2 linked regions of the Neurospora crassa OR74A genome follow. The protein of the gene in region 1 binds, or shares a complex with, the protein of each later gene. Links are inferred from orthologs where the notes say so. Each region holds a gene or a part of one and is shown on either strand. Other genes may lie near its edges.

Evidence for each region. Proteins that work in one complex are often made in the same cells at the same time.
Region 2: NCU07471 (region 1) and NCU03911 share a complex: the UniProt entries of both Saccharomyces cerevisiae proteins name them as parts of the F-actin capping complex. The link is inferred for Neurospora crassa OR74A from reciprocal best matches to the Saccharomyces cerevisiae genes CAP2 and CAP1.

Annotation. Positions count from the first base shown.
Region 1 is NC_026501.1:520,714-524,248, reverse strand, and holds NCU07471 (F-actin-capping protein subunit beta), read right to left. Parts: upstream 2,318-3,535; 5' UTR 2,081-2,317; coding exon 2,049-2,080; intron 1,839-2,048; coding exon 1,396-1,838; intron 1,254-1,395; coding exon 859-1,253; 3' UTR 511-858; downstream 1-510. Other genes in the region: NCU07472 (alpha-1,6-mannosyltransferase subunit), read left to right, coding at 2,743-2,764, 2,835-3,284, 3,341-3,535. UniProt on the Saccharomyces cerevisiae protein: F-actin-capping proteins bind in a Ca(2+)-independent manner to the fast growing ends of actin filaments (barbed end) thereby blocking the exchange of subunits at these ends.
Region 2 is NC_026506.1:2,119,617-2,122,791, reverse strand, and holds NCU03911 (F-actin-capping protein subunit alpha), read left to right. Parts: upstream 1-1,246; 5' UTR 1,247-1,362; coding exon 1,363-1,419; intron 1,420-1,480; coding exon 1,481-1,499; intron 1,500-1,561; coding exon 1,562-1,767; intron 1,768-1,840; coding exon 1,841-1,893; intron 1,894-1,957; coding exon 1,958-2,095; intron 2,096-2,168; coding exon 2,169-2,517; 3' UTR 2,518-2,658; downstream 2,659-3,175. Other genes in the region: NCU03913 (2-oxoisovalerate dehydrogenase beta subunit), read left to right, coding at 1-667, 728-765. UniProt on the Saccharomyces cerevisiae protein: F-actin-capping proteins bind in a Ca(2+)-independent manner to the fast growing ends of actin filaments (barbed end) thereby blocking the exchange of subunits at these ends.

The DNA of each region.
Region 1 (3,535 bases):
CGGGGTACATGCCGTGCCCTCGAGCCGCCCTCGAGCCGCCCTTGAGCCGCCTTCGCCGCCGCCGCCGTCAGTCTTGGTCGTGGTCTTGGTCGGTGTCTTGGTCTTGCTTGGGTGGTGTGTTGTGGTACAAAGATACGAAAAGAGTGCCTAGGTTATCTTCAGTCCGCCGAGGGCGCTCTAGCGGTGAACGAACGATACCTACCTATCTAGAGGTTACTTATCGCGGAAAACTTCCGTATACGAGACGACCCTTGAAACTTTTGGTATAGAATGCTTTGTAGACATGAAGTAACTGGACTGAATTGAGCTGCACTGGTTACACCAAGGTCTCACCACCAAATCCCACAAAGTCAGTGATTTGACCCATAAGGAAACAACCGGGAATTCTCCAAAAAAAAAAATGTCTTGGTGGGAAGAGGTCGGGGTCGGCAGGATCGGAAGGTAATCGATATGCGAAATCCCGTTTTTGAGAGACATGGCGTTGGGTGTGGGCATTACCCGGGATATTTTTCGGGTGTCTTGTCTCTGATCTGTTGAGGAGTATACTCGGTCCCGGGGGTTGGTCAAACTGATCAGGTCTAGTCCCGTCGGTGAGACCGAGACCATAGTTCAGACAACTTTATGTGTGTGTGATGAATTATTAACTAGAATTTGTTTGGAGAGAGAGAGATGTAGCATACCAAGCAGAGACACATGTCTTCCCGCCCTCTTCTTCTCTCTCTCTCTCTCTTTCTCGCGAAAATACCGTTTCAAATACGCCTGCTAATCACACAGCAATAGCCGATTTCGCTTCGCTTTGTCTTTGCCAACTAACCATTTCCTCTCCTTCCACCACCACAGTAGCCCTTGCATGCCTGCTTACGCTTTCCTCATACTCCCAATAATCTCCATCTGCGCATCGCGATCCCTCTGTCCCTCGCTGAGGGAGCCGACACTCCTCAGATCGCCCACGACGTCCTTGGCCTTGCCAAAGTAGACCTCCTGCAGCAGGTTGCGCATCTTGAGCTCCATGTCCTCGACCAGGCGGCCAATATTGGCAATGTGGCTCTCGTCGTTCTCGACAGGCAGGTCCTGCTCGACCTGGCGCGTCATGTTGCCCGAGAGATCAACCTCGCCGAGAGCGTTGCCCTTGGTGGCCAGCGAGAGGATGACGGTCGAGGTAAGGCGGTAGTTGGAGGTGCGGCCGCGCTCCGAGGCTTCGAAGACGTGGATGGAGTCCCACACGCCCGAGGAGGAGGGATTGGTTGGGGAGGCTGTTGACATAAGTGTAGGTTAGCAGACTTGTTCTTGTATGTAGTGTCGATAGGCTCCGGCAAGCGCAAGAGTCTCACGCGCATCGGTCCATCCCGTGCAGTCCAACCCAAAACAAATGACGACGACAGAGGAATAACTCACACTTCTTCAACAACACCACCCCCGCAAACCCATCGTCCAAATTCCAGAAATACACCGAACTCACACCCCCCTCATAATACAGCTCCCTGTACACGTCAAACGCCTCGTTGGCCTTGATCTCCATCTTCCTCACCCTCTCGCCAGGCATGATCGATCCCGCCGCACCGCCTTCTCCTCCATCTCCCTCGCCATCTCCACCGCTACCGCCCTGGTTGCCGCCCTCGAGCGGAGGGTCGAACTGGTTGCTCCATGGCGAGCGGTAGCTGTCGCCGTCGCGGTTGTAGTCGCATAGCAGGTAGTCGCGGCCGGTTTGCTTGCAGCGCTTGACGGTCAGGGGCTGGTCGACGGAGGAGAGCAGGTCTTCGGTCAGGTCGGGGGCGAGGGTGATGAGGTTGTTGAGGTGCTCGGCCGTGTGTTTGGGGTTGAGGCGGCGGAGGAGGTCGCTGTTTGGGTAAGGGGTGTCAGCTTATATGACCTGGTTCGTCTCTGGTTGTTTGCGCTGTGCCGCGCTTCGTGATGGCGATGATGATGTTGTTGTTGTTGGTGGTGGTGGTAGTGGTGATGCCCGTGATGTAGTTGGCGGTCGGTGTAGATCTGGCTGGGGCGCAAGGAGGGGTGGTGGGTAGGCGGACTCTGCGACTTGGTAGACTTACAGGGCGGAATCAAAGGGGTCTGCGGTCGCCATCTTGACGGATATTCCTCTAAGGGTGGGAAGGAGTGTGATACTCTTGTTTGTTTGTTTTTGTTTACTCGGTGAAGGTCGAAATGGCGGCGCGGCGACGGATGGGTAGACGGACAGGCCAGGGCAATGGAGACAGGTGCTAATGTTAGGTAGGTGGTTCCTAGCTGTTGAGTCGGCGGGGATGTTCCAGGGTCGGGTTCCTCTTGCTATGAAACCTCCACTGCACTGGTGGGGTTCCCGTTGTTGCTGTTTCAGGGGGCTCACGCACGGCCAATGGCACTGTTTGTTTCCATCTGGTGATGTTTCTGTACGAGATAATCTTTGCCAAGAAGCATCAACTTTGACGATGAGAGGCATAATCCGCACAATAACTCTTAGATTAACTGTTTTGAAGTCCGGATGAATCATAGAAGACTATTGTAAAGGTCTTGAAGTACGCCTAATTTGAATTAATCAAGTATTGATATATGCATTCCATCACTTTCCTCAGGCTATACTACGCCTATGTTCACATTTCCTGTACACAGTCAACAGTCAGCCAGCTCATCTTTACCTGGCCGACGACCCCTTGCAAACTGTCAACAACAACAACAACAGCCTTATTCCGAATCTCTTCATCTCATCGTCACCTTACCAACATGAGGTGAAGCATCGTACCAGACACCATGAAGCTAATGTCTGTATTGGGTATGTCTTCTTTCCTTTTTCGCACACACTCTCACACTCGCATGCGCACTGCGACTTACCGTCCAGCCAGATTGGGGGCTCTACCTCCTCATCCCAACCCTCGTCCTCCTTCACCTCTTCATCGCCCCATACACCAAGGTTGAGGAGTCTTTCAACATCCAAGCCACCCACGATGTCCTTGTGTACGGCACGCCACTTCAGAATGCCTATCACCGACTATCTCAAACATATGACCATTTCACCTTTCCTGGTGCTGTACCCCGAACCTTTGTTGGCCCTGTGGTCTTGGCCGGTCTCGGACAGCCCATCGTCAACCTTGTCGGCTTCGACCATGCCCAAACCATTGTGAGGGGTATGCTAGGCCTCGCCAATGCGGCCGCTATTCTTTTGTTTGCGCGGAATTTTAGACGTGCCTATGGACGCTCGGCAGCCAGGTGGTATTTACTTTTGCAGGCCAGTCAGTTCCATGTCATTTTCTACGCGTCGAGGACGTTGCCGAATATGTTTGCTTTCGGACTGAGTAAGTGAATTGCCTCATCCTCATCCTCATGGATAATGGGAATCTAACACGATCAGCAACTACCGCCGCCGCTCTCCTCCTCCCGAACCCGCAATCTCCGGAGCTCATCCACCGTCGCCACCGCTCTGCCATCTCGCTACTTGTCATGGCTGGCGTCATCTTCCGCTCCGAAGTAGCGCTTCTCCTCTTCACCACCATCTTCCACCTCCTCTTTGTCGTCCCCTCCACCTCTCTGGAGCGCATAATCCCGC
Region 2 (3,175 bases), on another chromosome or scaffold:
AACGAGGCTGCCAAGTTCAGATACAGGGATGGTTCTTGCGGGCGGAGTGCCGGGGGGTTAACGGTACGCATGCCCTGCGGAGGTGTTGGTCATGGTGGTCTCTACCACACACAGTCGCCGGAGAGCTTGTTCACACATATTCCAGGATTGCGAGTGATCATGCCCAGATCACCCATCCAGGCCAAGGGCTTGCTGTTATCCGCCATTCGCAGCAATGACCCATGTGTCTTCATGGAACCCAAGATCCTCTACCGTGCTGCCGTTGAGCAGGTGCCCACCGGGTCCTATACGCTGCCATTATCCAAGGCTGAAGTGCTGAAGGAAGGAAAGGATGTGACCATCATCTCATACGGTCAACCCCTATACAAATGCATGGATGCGTTGCAAAAGGCCGAGAAGGACTTTGGTGTCTCAGTGGAATTGATTGACCTCCGAACGGTCTATCCATGGGACAAGGAGACCGTGTTCCAGAGTGTCAGGAAGACGGGGCGCTGCATCGTGGTTCATGAATCTATGGTCAATGCCGGCATTGGTGCCGAGGTGGCCGCTGCCATCCAAGAGGACTCGGAAACCTTTGTTAGACTCGAAGCTCCCGTGGCTCGAGTTGCTGGATGGAGCATTCACACGCCTCTCATGTTCGAGGCACTTAACATTCCGGATGTTGCGAGTGAGTAACTGCATCCTTGTACGAGTTTGGTAAGAGCGAAATAAGCTGACATGACATTAGGGATATATGCCAACATCAAGAAGGTGTTGAACTTTTGATGATGAGCGGGAAAAAAGGAAGAAAATGGACAAGTCGTAGCGGGGCGTTTATAATAGGCGAGTTCGGTTCAGGCGGGTGCCGTCTTGTAAATCCCGACAAATACTTGATCTTATAACCATGCCTGCTAAAGGCAACTCAACCGACTGCCCTCAACAACCCCAAACCCTGCCATGTATGCCAGGGCTTTGCCATTTTCCGAACTCGTGATCTTGTAACTCAATTGTTTTTCATCGTAGCAGTGTTCTTTGTTTACAGACGTCGCAAACTTAAGCAGTAAGCCGGATTCAGGATATTACTTGCAACGATAATGCAGCTCGCCAGCTGTGAAGCCCCTTGACAGCTGTCGGCCTCACAGTATCCACATCCCACTTCAGGCGGCCCCGCAGTGGTTTGGTGCCATTCCATGCTCCCGTCCCACTGACGGCGGCGGACATGCCCAAGGCGCAGCTCCATCATCTCTAGCAGCGTGGTACCGTTGATCGATACCAGCTTCACCAACTAATATACAACGAATCAACCAACCCACAAGTAAACAACGCCGAGAAACCTTTTTAATCCTGTCTATTTTTTTTTAATTACCATTAGAGCACGGAACCATGGCGTCGCACAAGGAGATTGTGTCCTCCTTCGTTGAGGGAGCTCCCCCTGGCGAGGTGCGCATCCTACACCGACACCAACGAGCCGAATTGCGTATGCTGACATGTTGACGTACAGCTCGCCGATGTTGTTGCAGGCACGATATTCCCCTTCGAACTTGGATCGCGACCCTACTTTCTAACGATTCCGAGCTTTCAGACATCAAGGCCCTTACTAGCTCGACCCCTAATCTGCTGAACGAGCTTGGACCTGCGTTCCAAAAGTACAACGAGGAACAGTTCACGACGGTGAAGCTCCCCGGTGGTAGCCAACCTGTTATCATTAGCTCCCATAGTTCTCTGGAGGATGGTCGTTACTACGACGTCGAGAGCTCCTCGAGCTTCGCCTACGACCACATTACTCAGGTTAGCCAGCCCACTGAGCAGCCAATGGAAAACAGCGACACGTGGAACAAGTCAATAACCCAAGCGACTGCAGAAAGCCAGCGATGTTCAGAGTCACGTCCTAGAAGGCGAACAGACCGACCTGGTGTAAGGAAAACAAGAACCCCTGCAACATTTGAGGAGCGAAGGGCAGGGCTGATACCAATTGCAGAAAATCCACGGTCAAGGGGCTTTCAGCCTACGTCAAGGAGCACTTTCCTAACGCCGCCTATGGCGCGTACCCGATAGAGAATGACACCAAAGTCGCGGTTGTCATTGTCGCGAACAAGTACAGCCCGAACAACTTCTGGTATGTCGCTTTAGAACGGAGTCGATCGCCTTGTCGCATATTACCCGCCTTTTGCGTTAACACGAGGTAACAGGAACGGACGTTGGCGCTCGCTATACATCTACGACCCATCCAACAACTCCATTGAGGGCTCCATCAAGGTCGACGTGCACTACTATGAGGACGGAAACGTGCGTTTGTTGACTAACAAGACAGTCACCGCGACCGTGTCGTCGGGCACCGGCAGCGGCATTGCCAAGGAGATCTCGGTGAACGAGAAGAAGTACCAGGAGGAATTGAACAAGAGCTTCACAAGCCTCAGCGAGGGCGCTTTCAAGGGCTTGAGAAGACAGCTGCCGGTGACGAGACAGAAAATCGAGTGGGACAAGGTCGCCAGCTATCGCCTGGGACAGGATATCGGTGGTGGAAGCTCTAGGCGGTAATGGGTGTATGGACGGATGGACCTGAGTAATATAAGCCTAGGTAGTACGAAGGAGAGAGGGCGAGCACTGCTGGCAGTGGCCAAACCAAATTCAAGTCAGTACAGAAGAACCAAAGAAGGAAGAGCACAGCTCACTCATGTTTGCCGTGTCAGCGGCTGTTCGGGTGTGTCCGTGATCGCTGCCCGATGTTACAGCTGTGGGGAATTGGTTGAATGGGTCCCGCAACATTGCTCTAAGAACGGAAACTTGTCTTGGTGATTTCCCCTCACCCAGCACTAGATAACGAAGAAGGGGACGGGTGTCTCGAGTGCTACACACTTGCCACACATATGAATGAGTGCTCCGGGAGCTGGAAAAACAACAACCTGAAAAAGGTGGGAGGTGCTCGCGACGCAACAGGGCGATGGAACCGAGTCGCAAACCCGTGGGTGCCGTGGGATGTTCCCGGTCGGGGTTGACGCAGTGGCCACAATTTTGACTCGGAGTCTTCTTGTTGAGCGCACCCGTTTGCGCCAATCACACGCCTCTGCGTATTTTGCCTGTTTCTGATTCGGTCTAGCTACCTCAGAAGGCTGCGTTGTTTCGATTTTAGGCTTGTCAAGCTACCTCTATCTCCGTCTCAGTACCCAGGAGCCAGGGCAGTGGAGGTCTTGCTGCT